Linked DNA regions of Saccharomyces cerevisiae S288C. The protein of the gene in region 1 interacts with the protein of each later gene in a pairwise test. Each region holds a gene or a part of one and is shown in the gene's direction. Other genes may lie near its edges.

Evidence for each region. Proteins that work in one complex are often made in the same cells at the same time.
Region 2: the proteins of RRP14 (region 1) and FPR3 interact in binary tests that used the Saccharomyces cerevisiae proteins (3 or more experiments, as listed by UniProt).
Region 3: the proteins of RRP14 (region 1) and NOC2 interact in binary tests that used the Saccharomyces cerevisiae proteins (3 or more experiments, as listed by UniProt).

Annotation. Positions count from the first base shown.
Region 1 is NC_001143.9:280,276-284,874, reverse strand, and holds RRP14 (ribosome biosynthesis protein RRP14), read left to right. Parts: upstream 1-2,545; coding exon 2,546-3,850; downstream 3,851-4,599. Other genes in the region: TEF4 (translation elongation factor EF1B gamma), read right to left, coding at 420-1,453, 1,780-1,984; HOT13 (Hot13p), read right to left, coding at 4,016-4,366. UniProt on the Saccharomyces cerevisiae protein: Involved in ribosome biogenesis and cell polarity. Required for the synthesis of both 40S and 60S ribosomal subunits and may also play some direct role in correct positioning of the mitotic spindle during mitosis.
Region 2 is NC_001145.3:118,961-123,200, reverse strand, and holds FPR3 (peptidylprolyl isomerase FPR3), read left to right. Parts: upstream 1-1,876; coding exon 1,877-3,112; downstream 3,113-4,240. UniProt on the Saccharomyces cerevisiae protein: Proline isomerase that belongs to an abundant class of enzymes that catalyze the cis-trans isomerization of X-Pro peptide bonds and can accelerate the refolding of proline-containing polypeptides. Specifically binds nuclear localization sequences.
Region 3 is NC_001147.6:725,460-730,772, forward strand, and holds NOC2 (mRNA-binding ribosome synthesis protein NOC2), read left to right. Parts: upstream 1-2,052; coding exon 2,053-4,185; downstream 4,186-5,313. Other genes in the region: GEP3 (Gep3p), read right to left, coding at 105-1,775; DNA-directed RNA polymerase III core subunit RET1, read right to left, coding at 4,549-5,313. UniProt on the Saccharomyces cerevisiae protein: Involved in the intranuclear transport of ribosomal precursors.

The DNA of each region.
Region 1 (4,599 bases):
TTCAGTTCTATCCTAAATTGTTTTCCAGTCTTAAGATAAAATTCATTCCAGTTCGGGTAACATACACCGTTTATGACTGACGCTTCTCTTTACGGAAAATTGTTTTTTTCGCTATTGTTGCAAAAGTACAATGGAAAATGCCCCACTGAAACATGAAATAAGAAGAGAAGAATCAAGTTTATGCAAAATATTGTTAGAGTAACCGCAGCAGATTGTGATACTCAATTAGAGAGATTATTACAATATATATATATATAATGATTACATGGACGTTAATCGTTACATAGAATTAAACCACGCGTAAGTATGGGGTAATCATGAAGTAGACTTCAGGGTTTTTTTCTTTTTTCTTTTGAAAATTCGTTTTGTTTGACTCTTATGTATATTGGGAAGAAAATATGGAAGAAGAGTTATTGAGATTATTTCAAAACCTTACCGTCAACAATTTCCTTATCTTCGCCATTGACAACAACAGGCTTATCCCAAGCCCACATGTTGTTGACAAATTCTTTGTCTTCTTCCTTGGTTGGGTCCAACTTGGTGTATTCGTAAGATTCCCAGTCTGGAGCGACATCAAAGGCTGGAGCGAAATCTTGGCCTCTGACCATAACGGCACCAACAATACCATTATTGTTGTTTTCACCATAGACAACTAAACAACCGAACATGTACTTAGTAGAAGCGGACAATCTGTTGAAAAAACCACCGACCAAGTTGTTGGACATGAAAGTCAAGGTAAGTTCGTCGTTGTATTTGTAACCAACCTTCCAGATGGAGTATTCTTCAGGGTTGTAGTGTTCCCAGAACCATGGCAAAGCAACTGGTCTGGTGTCGTCGTTGGAGTACTTTCTCTTCCAGTCATCCAAGACAAATGTGGACTTTCCTAAAGCTTCCAATGGGTGCTTTGGCTTTTTAGCTGGAGCAGCATCATCTGCTGGCTTAGCTTCGTCCTTCTTCTTTTCAGCCTTTGACTTTTCGGCCTTTGGCTTTTCAGCCTTTTGCTTCTTTGGTGGAGTGTAGGTTAGAGCCTTTTCAGCCAATTTGACTTCAGCAAATGGAGTCTTCACGATTGGAGAAGCAGCAACAGTGTTGAACCATCTCATCAAATGAGGATGCTTAGCTCTCCATTCAGGGCCCAAAATAGTGGCCAAACCAAAAGCCCAAGAACCAGCGGCATGAAGGTCACCTAGAGAAATGTTTTCGGTAGCAACAAAGGTGTAGTCTCTCAATCTAGCATCGAAGACAGCAGCTAGGTTGTCGATTTTAACAAAACAAGCATCAACGTCTTTCTTGTTGTATGGAATCAAACCTTTGAAAGAAAGGAATGGACGAGCAATGTTGCTCATGACATCGGAATTAGCTAGAGATGCCCATCTAAGGATTTGAGACTTTTCGATAACGTCGGAACCTAATAAGCGAGCTCTTTCTTTTTCATCGGCAACTTGATTAGCCACTAAATATACATCATCTCGATGGTTATACAACCATTAATTGAAGAAATGTTAGTAAAACAATCCTTTATATTTTTTCCTGGATTAGGACACGCTTTGTACTTCCTTTTTGTTATTTTGACTTTCATTTTTCTTTAAGAAACATATCAGAAATACAAATATCAACATATGAGAGGTTACCTATTATTACCCATTCAGACAGGGATAACTGTTTGATAAAATTTTTTTTCATCATTATGTTTCGAAGAAAAATGACGTGCCAAATAAACGAACGGGAAACGCGCAAAACAATGTATGTGGAAGTGTTAAAATAAAATATGGAACATACAATAAAATTGGATAGCCAAAGCTTCAGTTAGCTTTAAGCCCTTTGGACCCAAAAATGCAGGGGCTTGCTTCAATGGGAACAAAGAAGCAAACTCGCTAGATTGTTCTAGATCAACGATCTTGACATCTAGTTTAAAGTAAGAAATCAAAGCTTCAGAAGCGTAGTTTCTTGGAGATCTATTAATGTATAAAGTACCTTGGGACATCTTGAATCTATCGAGGGCCAAAATCAAAGAATTGAGTTGGTATTAAGGATGGACACCAGTTTTGAACAAAATTAACGACGGAATGGATGAATTAAATATGAAAAAGAAAGTATTGCAAACTGTTGATGAAAAAAATTTTTCTTTCAATTTTGTCAGCAGCAGAGCGCATTACCCTGCCGGCCACATGCCGAATTAAATTAAATGAGGGCTGCTATTGCCAAATGTGATGGCTTGCCTACAGAGGTTAATTTCCCTTGTTTTGGGCTTCCTCTCTCAACACGATTGACACAAGCAATAGAGGCAAAGGTGTGTAATGAGTTCGTGTACCAATTAAAGTAAAGTAGAGTGGTTTAATTGGGATTACACGATTAAAAAGTTTCACCCAGACACCAAATTGAAAATTTTTTAAAATGAATTCTTTTTATTCTCATCTCCGGTAAAGAAAAGAGGAAAGTACAATAAAAGAGATGAGATGACCAAGAGATGAATAACAAGTGAGGACTGAGACGTTGTTGCAAGTGATAAAGAAAGTCCGGGAATTGAAAGATATAGGAGACTGAGATGAGTAATTCACTTGAGGAGCGCCTTCGTGCTAATTCAAGCGCCTTCGATGGTTTATTGGCTTTAATTCCTGCAAAATACTATTATGATGAAAAAAGTCAAGAGCAATGGAAGGCCAAGAAGAAAACCAAAGAACAGAGTAAAAATGATAAACTGAAAAAATTAGACCCGGAGCAACGTGATGATGAAACATCTAGTACATTAGAAGTAATGAAGAAGAAGGAGAAAGACGCAAAGCCGGTGGTCCTACCTGGTGAAAAATTCAAGCACATGAAAATGCAAAAGCAAAAGGAAGCAACATCAAAAGTGGAAGGAGACTCCGACCTGAACGTAGAAGTAAACGATCCTATGATAATAGCACCAGACGAAGATGAAGAAGAGGAAGAGGATATTAAGGTGATCTTTGATGATGAGGGAAATGAAATACCATTAGAATCTAAAAAAGATACTACAGAGCCCGATAGATCTGTCGAAAAGAAGTCTATTACAGAGGAAGAGAAACTACAAAGAAAGAAAAACTTGGAAGCACTACGTTCCAAGTTACAAGCGAAAATTTCAGATATGAAGAGTAAAAGGAAAGCACCCGGTTCTAGAGAGGCTATTCTTGCTCAAAGGAAACGCAAGGAAGAGTTGAAAAAAAGAAAGCGTCTAGAAAGTGAACAGGAACAGGATCAGGATGAAATTGCGTCTGATTCCGATATGGAAGACATCGATAGTGATTTAGAAAACAATTCGAAAAAAAGATTCAAAAAAGGCAAGAAGGACTCAGAAATTAACGCAGATGGTGTAATGTTTCAAAATATCATATTCGATGATGGTGCAAGGGCCACTTCAGATTTACAAAGGTTAAGAAAAGCTGGTAGAACGAAGGGTCCGGCTAAGAATGATGTAAAATCACACTTAAAGTTATTAGAAGCCAAGAAGAATAAGATGGAGGCGAAAGACGAACTAGAACAAATCAAGCAGAAGGAAAAGGAAAAATGGCAAAAGGCTATGTTACAAGCAGAAGGAATTAAGATTAGGGATGACGAAAAACTACTTCGCAAAGCTATAAAGAGAAAGGAAGCACAAAAGAGAAAGTCTGCGATTGAATGGAGCGAACGTAAGAGGGTTGTGGAAGACACGATATCTGAAAGACAAAAGAGAAGAGAAGAGAATCTGAGGATTAGGAAAGACAACAAGGGTAAAAAGAGAAATAAGCAAGAAAAGATGAAAAGAAAGTATGTCGGTAGTGCCGTACCAAAGAAAAGAGCCGGATTTGAGGGTAGATTAAAAACAGGTAAAAAGAAGGGAGGACCTAAATAATAATCACGATAATAATAACAACAATAATAGATATATATATATGTATGAACATATATATACAGATACATATATATATATATATATCTATATATATACCATCGCATTTTTTCCTTAACGAGAAGAGCACAGCAGAGCTTAAGATGGCATGCATTTATAGAACAACACTCAACACATAGCGGGGGGAGGGTTCTGGAAATACAAATGGTAGTGCAATTTACAGCCTGGATTAAAGGGGGATCTGCAATTGGGACAAATAAGGTTTGAATTGTAGTCGTAATACTCTGCAAACGTCATTTCATGACGGCAAACTCCGCAAATAATCAAGTGTTTATTTGCATCGTCAAGGAGATCATATTTTTCTAGCGGGTGAGAACTTAACTCTTGGTGGCATTCAAAGCACGCATAGTACTTATCACAACATTTAAACCTGATGGCAATTACATCCTTTGGAAGATGCCAGTGGACACATCGAGATTGGTCATCCACTGTCTTACCATAAATGGCAGTTTCGATCATCTATATTTGCAAATTGTAAGTGGTACGTATTTTTTTTTTTATATCATATATGTATATTTAAAGAAACTCGTAAACCGAAACGTTTATTCATCATTATCATCATCATCATCATTATCATCACCATCACACCGCGCGCGCCTATTTAATCATTTTTGTTTTTCCTCGTCTACGGAAGAAAAAAAGGTGTAGGAGCAACGAATAGCATGAATTTTTCTCTAGTTGATTTTTGGCAG
Region 2 (4,240 bases), on another chromosome or scaffold:
AATAATATATATGCAGGTAAAATTATAATTTAACTACAGTTTCATAAGTGCATTTGTATTGAGCATTGGTTTTTTATTCGCATATTTATATCTTCATTGCGGCAATCACCCAGAGAAAGGGCGTGAAAAGAAAAAGGAATACATTATTTCAAGTTCCTTTGATCTTTCCTATAATGTAGACTTTCTTGGCGCAAGACTTGGATGCATCATACAAAATACAAATTGTTAAGCAAAAAAGTGTCGCTCTGCTGTAAGCTTTGTGATGTTATATTTGATCGTATGGTGAGGAAAAACAATACACCTCATGTTATATAATGATCGTTGTTTTAGGTGAGATGTGGAAATAGAAGAGAGATTTTTAAACAAAAAGTAAATGGTTTTAAACGTTGGCAATAACAAGGCCTGCTCACAGCAAATAAAACGGGAATAGAACAGGAACGGGAATAGAACAAAGATAAGAAAATTGAAAGTAGAAAAGACAAATAGTGAGAAACAAAATGCAAGAGAAAATGCATCGCTTGAGCCCAATGTTCCTACCAATATTAAGGGGATTTCAGGTATCAAAGTCGCATTGACGTATAAAATACTCCAAAAAATGCGCTCTGTTTACTTTGTTATCTATGAAATGAGGAAAATGCAACCGGTGAGTGTAAAAGCATCCTGCAGGAATTTGTTACAACTTCATCTCAGTTACCAACATAGCCAACGGACGTCGATATTGTCCTTTACCCCACTGGTAGTGAAATACTTTCGAGTAAATGTCAGGACGTTAGAAATCATCCGAGTCATGCTTCGACTCCATGTATTTTTATTCTCTAAGTGTGCTTTGGAGTTTCCCCGCGAGTTCTCACAGAATTGGCTTTACTGCCAAAAGTTGAAGACAGCATAGTCATTGGCTTCGTCAAAAGATCTTCATTATTTAAAGCAAGCAATGATCAATTCTAAGACGGGTTAACAAAATATGGACAGAGCATCTTCAAGCAAAACTAATGCGGCAATGTTAAGCTTACATATATTCGAACGGTAATAACATCGATAATACGGTTATAGCCACCAACTCTGCATTATAGAAATGAGAAAAGCGCCATAGCTATTATTTAACGTAACTTACCAGAAGTCCTTGAGCAGACGATTGAGCATTGAATAAAAAATAAAATTCTTGTAATTCTTGGAAGGAAGAACGACACAAATAGATAAATGGCGTATTTTCTGAGCAATGAACTGTGTTCCATCAAAAACATTTTATCGCACACCATAGGCACTTAGAAAAACAAACCTTTGTGCCAGTATTTGAATGAAAACACTTTGGTTGAAATGTATTGTGAAATTAATCATCGAGCACTTTACGGTTGGCAACGACACATTACTGACGTTCTTTCGCCGATTTGTTACTTTAATATATTGTACAAAAATGCATCAAAGAACATAAAAGAGAGCGATCGCACAATCAAACTTCTTTTGGAAATAATCTGTCATCAATGCTCCAAACATTCTACTATCACCTGTTCATGATATTATGGGGAGAATATGCCAAATGTATATGACACATCGCATACTTTCTACCTTTTTCAACTGGCTTGCTTCCTCTACCTTTCACTAAAATCTGGATTGCATCTACATCTATATAGTCAAAACCGGCAAGAACAGAGATTATGATACATGCTTCATGTTCCATTGATTAGAATCCACTAGTATTAGCTCGCTGTTCAATTTTCAGCCCTCTACGGACTGTCGTCATTCCTAAAGGACGGCAAAATTTAAAAGTGAAGGTAAAATTTTTAAATTCGAAAAAAGAGCCTACTAACACGTTTCTATATAATACATAATTGTGTGAAAGTTCATACATAATTGAAAGCAAGCATCCAACCAGCCCAATATGTCTGATTTGTTACCACTAGCTACCTACAGTTTGAATGTTGAACCTTATACCCCGGTTCCAGCAATCGACGTCACGATGCCCATCACCGTTCGTATTACTATGGCTGCTTTGAACCCGGAAGCCATCGATGAAGAGAACAAACCATCGACTTTAAGAATTATCAAAAGAAACCCGGACTTTGAAGATGATGATTTTTTAGGTGGTGATTTTGATGAAGACGAAATAGACGAAGAATCCTCTGAGGAAGAAGAAGAGGAAAAAACCCAAAAGAAAAAGAAGAGTAAAGGCAAGAAGGCTGAAAGTGAAAGTGAGGATGATGAAGAAGACGATGACGAGGACGATGAGTTCCAAGAATCCGTCCTTTTGACTTTATCTCCGGAAGCCCAATACCAACAATCTTTGGACTTGACCATTACTCCAGAAGAAGAAGTCCAATTCATTGTCACTGGTTCTTACGCTATCTCCTTGAGCGGTAACTATGTTAAGCATCCATTTGATACTCCAATGGGAGTCGAAGGTGAAGACGAAGATGAAGACGCTGACATCTATGACAGTGAAGACTACGACTTGACCCCAGATGAGGATGAAATTATTGGCGACGACATGGACGACTTGGATGACGAAGAGGAAGAAGAAGTTCGTATTGAAGAAGTCCAAGAAGAAGATGAAGAAGATAATGATGGAGAAGAAGAACAAGAAGAAGAAGAAGAAGAAGAACAAAAAGAAGAAGTTAAGCCAGAACCTAAGAAAAGCAAAAAGGAAAAAAAGAGAAAGCACGAAGAGAAAGAAGAAGAAAAGAAAGCTAAAAAAGTAAAGAAGGTCGAATTCAAGAAGGACTTAGAGGAGGGTCCAACAAAACCCAAAAGCAAAAAGGAACAAGATAAGCATAAACCAAAGAGTAAGGTTTTGGAAGGCGGCATAGTAATCGAAGACCGTACTATCGGTGATGGCCCACAGGCTAAGAGAGGTGCCAGAGTAGGCATGAGGTACATTGGTAAGTTAAAGAACGGTAAAGTTTTCGACAAGAACACCAGCGGTAAACCATTTGCATTCAAACTTGGCCGTGGTGAAGTTATCAAAGGCTGGGACATTGGTGTTGCCGGTATGTCTGTTGGTGGCGAACGTAGAATCATCATTCCAGCACCATATGCCTACGGGAAGCAAGCTCTGCCAGGTATTCCTGCCAATTCCGAACTGACATTCGACGTTAAATTGGTTTCTATGAAAAACTAGTACACGCGCTCGTACGGATAGATGTTTATATATATTATTCTTTTTACATAATATTGTAACCTTCTGTATGTAAATCCGAAAACATTCTATTTCTTTTTAGTATCTATTGCTCTTTATAAGCTTTTCATTTTACTTTTCTCCGCGGATGATACAAATAAAGAAGCTGTGTTGTATAGAAAGAAATATATGGCGGCAAAAAAAGCGTTATCTTCTTTCTGTTCCTATTTCACTGAGTGCTACTGGATGGTCGTCAAGAAAGGTGAAGAAATCTTCAAAGCAATAAGAATTCAGACATTGACGTTAAATTAGATTATCGCCGCAGCTGTAATTGCGGTTATGGCCTCTAGTATTTAGTTCGATGTTAATGAAATAAAGCGCAAGCTGACTGTGAACGATAACCGCCAGGAAGGCTAGACACAGCTCTTCAGCTAAACAGTAGCCGGAACACATATACATTAGGGAACATTAGAAATAAGGCTCTCGTTGATCATCCTTGTAACTGAAAATTAGAACCGTTAAACGCTGCTGATTGATGGATTCCAGCCGTTCTCTTCCAACCCCTTTTACCCCGATTGTTCGTCCACTATCATGACTTATTATCCACTAAAGTGGCGTTGGCTGTACATTCGGGTGATGGTAGTATGGTGAGCACATGCTTTAAGTCCGAGAAACTAAGCTACAAAACGGAATTTCAAAGGGCCCCATTTTTATCGGGTGGACTAAGGGAAAGAAAAGCCTTCTGGAGAAGAGTTGGAAGACCTCAGCGTAGTGCGAAGAAAACGTAGTGCGAGTCTCTACGCCCGCTCGTTTAAAACTCTATAGAACGTCCGAAAGAAAGGTCCGTACTAGCTATAGGATCTCTACTTTACCTATTATTATCGCTAGGTGATAGCTTATAAAACAATTCATCGGTTTCTTCCTCATTTTTCCTGTATCTTTTCGGCTATGAAAAGCTGTTGTTCGATAAATCCAGGCAAAGATTTTTGAAAGTTTAAAAGATCTAATTTTCAAAGGCATTCCTTTAAAAAAGACAACTTGAAAGAGCTATATTCGTCTTCGGTTTTTTGATTTTTATTAACTTATTTTTTTCTTCTTTCTACCCAATTCTAGTCAGGAAAAGACTAAGGG
Region 3 (5,313 bases), on another chromosome or scaffold:
TCGTTTTTGAATATACTTTGTTCCCAACTTTCTTTTTAGTTTACTTACATTCATATTTACATGTGCGTTACTACTTATTGGTGCAACCAAGTGAACAGCGAGTCTTACCATTGGTAGTACCAATAGGGATTCTTTTTTTTTTCTAGGTGTTGAACCAAATCATAAGGATCATCGTCGACAAATCTTCTAGCAGATAAATCTTTCTCGGTTTTTTCTAAATACGACTTCTTCACTGCGTTCAAAGTATCAGCTTCATCCGGGGCCATCTCATACAGGGAACTGATGATCGGTCTATCTCTGGGACAGCTTGACTCTTTACCATTTGTTTCAATGTAACGCTGGTAGCCAGACTCAATCAAGTTTTCTAGCGGTTCCCTTATACCTACTTGGATACCCCTAGGTATCCATATCTCATGTAGTCCTTTGAACTCATACCTCCCAGTTGTCCTTAATAAAATATATCCTATATCTTTCAGAACGATCTCTATACTTCCAATAAATGGAGGTATTGCGTACCTTTTGTACTGGCTTTTTTCGCATATAACGCTTTTAATTCCACAATACCGTGATAACGGATGTGTGCCAGATGATGAATTGCACGAGTTGAATACATCAATACCTTTTTCAATGTTCTTGAATGTTTTTGATGGTCCTGGTATGTATTTCACAATCTGATTTATGGATCCTTTCGGAGGTACCAGGTAGAAAATCCCTCCCACGGTATAACAGCCTCCCTGTGATGTGCCCTTCATAGACTCATAAGTCTTCTGTTTTATATGCTTCCGATTGAATAAATCGGTTTTTCGCAGCCTTTGAAGCCAACGCTCGTCGATTAGTTCTTCTAGGCGTAATCTGGAGGTGGAAGTTGAATAGCCTGGAAGATCAAAAAGTATTTTACCTCCAACTTGGTAGGCTTGTACGGATCTAGTTAAATTGGGAATATGTGATACACCAGCAGCTTGAATCTTGAAAAAATTCTTCGGGTTCGTAAAAGCTTCTTGCATCACTTCTTCAGAGGGGGAGTTAATTTTCCCAGTAGAATCAATTTTAACCTTATATCCAAGATATTTCTGTAGTAGAGTATTGATCAAAGTTGATTTACCAACATTAGGGTTGCCTAGCAAATATGTGTAGTTTTTAAAGTAGTTGTAAAACATGGATATGTTCCAGTTTTTCAGCGCAGATATGGCGAATGTTTTATTTGAGTCAATTCTTAAAGTGTTCTTTAAAAATTGCTTCATGAATATAGGAACCTTTTTGCTGACAGCATTTTTATCTTTAAAAACTTGATCGCTTTTCGTTAACACTAATGTAGTATCTAAATCATTTCGTTTCAAAACATTGGGGTCTAAATGTAAGGGAAATTCTACAAAGGGGACAATATGCATAACATTTGAGCCTCTGGGGACGTAGTTCAGAATATCATTTAATGTGCTTTCGGGAAACTCTTCCGGGTTATAATTGTTATGATGAAGGGCATTACTGCACCTTTTGCAAATCACTCTCAATAGTAAATCTCTTTTGGTTTTGAGGTCAGGATCATTTTGAGTTGCCTGTTTCGAGAGCTGTATGTCTTGACTGAATAGCAAATACTTCAGATCTTGGAGGTCAGGATTTAGTTTTGAGTCGGGTAGACTTTTTGGCTTCGTATAATATCCTGGTTTACTAGGATCCTGATCCTGTAGTTTTATGGAACATGACGCACATTTCACTTTCACAATCACAGAACAGGAAAACTGACGTACGCCTCGAAGAGCATGACACAGATTCAACATTCCCGCATATTGAATTGTTCAAAGTAATTAGACGTGTTACTAGGAAGGTCCTTCGTTAATATTGCTCTGTTAAATGTATCTTGACCCATAACATCAAATAGTAGTTATCATCTTCGACGAGTTTTGAAAAATTTTCTGAATTTTTTCTTCCGATGAGATGAGCATGATATTTACAGAGAAAATAGAGAAACAGAATACTTGTACATGGGTAAATTCATTTATACTAATTTTTGAATTGTAAGAGAGATAGAGAAGGTCAACAATAGAATAAGTGGAGATGGGTAAAGTTTCTAAATCGACCAAGAAGTTTCAATCGAAGCATTTGAAGCATACTCTAGACCAAAGAAGAAAGGAAAAGATCCAAAAGAAGAGAATCCAAGGCCGTCGTGGCAACAAAACTGATCAGGAAAAGGCCGATGCTGCTGGTACTAGGGAACAACAGCAGTTGAAAAAATCTGCAAAGGAAGAGGTTTTTAAGGACATGTCTGTCGAAACTTTTTTTGAAAAGGGCATCGAAATTCCAAAAGAGAATAAAAAATTGAAGAAAAAAACTACGAAAGAGCAATCTGATGAAGATTCCTCCTCTTCCGAAGAGGAGGAAGACATGGGACAAAGCATGGCAAAGTTGGCCGAAAAGGATCCCGAATTTTATAAGTATTTGGAGGAAAATGATAAAGATTTATTGGACTTCGCAGGTACCAATCCATTGGATGGAATTGATAGTCAAGATGAAGGTGAAGATGCTGAAAGAAACAGTAATATTGAAGAAAAATCTGAACAAATGGAGCTGGAAAAGGAAAAAATTGAGCTTTCTTTGAAATTGGTTAGGAAATGGAAAAAACAACTTCATGATTCTCCAAGCTTAAAATTACTAAGGAACATAATCAGTGCTTTCAAGGTTGCTGTAAATTTGAACAAGGAAGAAAACATCGAAGACTATAAATATGCTATCACTGATGAGAAAGCATTCCACGAATTGATGTTCATGGTCTTGAAAGATGTACCACAAGCGATTCAAAAGATGGCCCCATACAAGATTGTAAAAGGCGCAAGGACCTTACCAAATGGAGGTAACGTCTCCAGGGTCTCGTCCATTGTCAAGTCGCATGCTGGCTCTTTGTTGATTTTATTGAATGATATTACTAATACGGAAACAGCAGCATTAGTTCTTCATTCTGTCAACGAATTGATGCCTTATCTTTTATCATACAGAAGGATCTTAAAGGAGCTTATTAAATCAATTGTTGGAGTATGGTCTACAACGAGAGAATTAGAAACCCAGATTGCTTCTTTTGCCTTTTTGATCAATACCACCAAAGAGTTCAAGAAGTCTATGCTAGAAACAACCTTAAAAACAACGTACTCCACTTTTATCAAAAGTTGTCGTAAAACGAATATGCGTTCTATGCCACTGATTAATTTTCAAAAAAATTCGGCAGCTGAATTGTTCGGTATCGATGAAGTTCTAGGTTACCAAGTTGGATTTGAGTATATTAGGCAATTGGCAATTCATTTAAGAAATACAATGAACGCGACAACTAAAAAATCCAGTAAAATTAATTCCGCAGAAGCTTACAAGATTGTATACAACTGGCAATTCTGTCACTCCTTGGATTTCTGGTCTCGTGTACTATCGTTTGCTTGTCAACCAGAAAAGGAAAATGGCAGTGAATCTCCTTTACGACAATTAATTTACCCATTGGTTCAGGTTACTTTGGGTGTAATCAGATTAATCCCAACACCACAATTCTTCCCATTAAGATTTTATTTGATTAAATCACTTATTAGACTTTCTCAAAATAGTGGTGTTTTTATTCCAATATATCCTTTACTTTCTGAAATTTTAACCTCAACGGCTTTCACTAAGGCACCCAAAAAGAGCCCTAACTTGGCTGCTTTCGATTTTGAGCACAACATCAAATGTACGCAAGCTTATCTGAATACAAAAATATACCAAGAGGGTTTGTCAGAACAGTTTGTGGACTTATTGGGCGATTATTTTGCTCTGTACTGTAAAAACATTGCATTTCCTGAACTTGTAACACCGGTTATTATCTCTTTACGCCGTTACATCAAGACTTCAACTAATGTCAAACTTAACAAACGTTTATCAACTGTTGTAGAAAAATTGAACCAAAACAGCACATTCATCCAAGAAAAGAGATCAGATGTTGAATTTGGGCCAACAAACAAATCTGAAGTTTCAAGATTTTTGAATGATGTAGCTTGGAATAAAACACCTTTAGGTTCTTATGTTGCAGTACAACGTGAAGTTAAGGAAGAAAAGGCCAGATTAATGAGAGAAAGTATGGAAGAACAAGACAAAGAAAGAGAAACAGAAGAAGCAAAATTATTAAACAGTCTGGAAAGTGATGATGACAACGAAGATGTTGAAATGTCAGACGCTTAACAACTCAGCAAGATTTGATTTTTTGTCTTGAATTCAATAGTTAAGTCTATAAATGTGTAAAATAAAGAAAAGTCTTTTTTAAAGCGTATATATCATTGTGCTCACATGTGCTAACATGTGAGCACTCCAAGCTTTCTCTTGTCAGCTGGATATTTTTATATTTTGGCCGGTTTATGGATAGAAAACACGTCAAACGTTCGATGGATCTTATAAAAAGTAATGATGTAAAGCAAGGTACAAAAATGAAAGAAGTACGGTTTACTGTTATATAATTTTCGAAATCGTTCAACTCTCTTAAAGTTCCTCACGAAATAGATATGATTGCTAACATAACGCAAAATTTAGTACAAGATATATGATTTCTTACTGCTGGAAGATATCTTCCAATCTTAATCTTGGGGCTATGTTCATGGATAATAATTCCTGGAATAACAGTTTTGCTGCATATGGAATAGTCATCTTAATAATATTCTCAGCACTTTTGCAGGTAGTACACCAACCACTATAGCCCATTAATCCACATTTATCGCAGACATCAACTTCAAAAGCATCTGAACTAATCATCAACCTTTCTAACAGCAATTGTGAAGCACCATACGCGATTACACAATCCCTCTCCATCTCACCCAACCTCAGACCACCATCTCTAGATCTACCCTCAGTTGGTTGACGTGTCAAAACAGCCCTTGGACCACGAGCTCTTGCATGCATCTTATCTAAGACCATATGCTTTAACTTTTGATAGTAAATGGGGCCAAAAAAGATGTAAGCCTGTAAACACTCACCTGTTATACCTGAATATAACATATCCTTACCGGAATAGTTGAAACCTTGGTCTACCAAAATCTTAGACATATCTTCAAGTTTAGAACCACCAAAACAAGTACCATATTCCAATGTACCATTCAATACACCAGCTTTACCCGATATCAGTTCGATCATTTTACCCACAGTCATACGAGATGGAAAACCGTGAGGGTTCATGATAATGTCTGGAACTATACCTTGATCGTTGAAGGGCATGTCTTCTTGCTTTACAATAATACCACAAACACCTTTTTGACCATGTCTAGAAGAAAATTTGTCACCTAATTCTGGCCTTCTGTTTTGTCTTAGCAAAACTTTGAT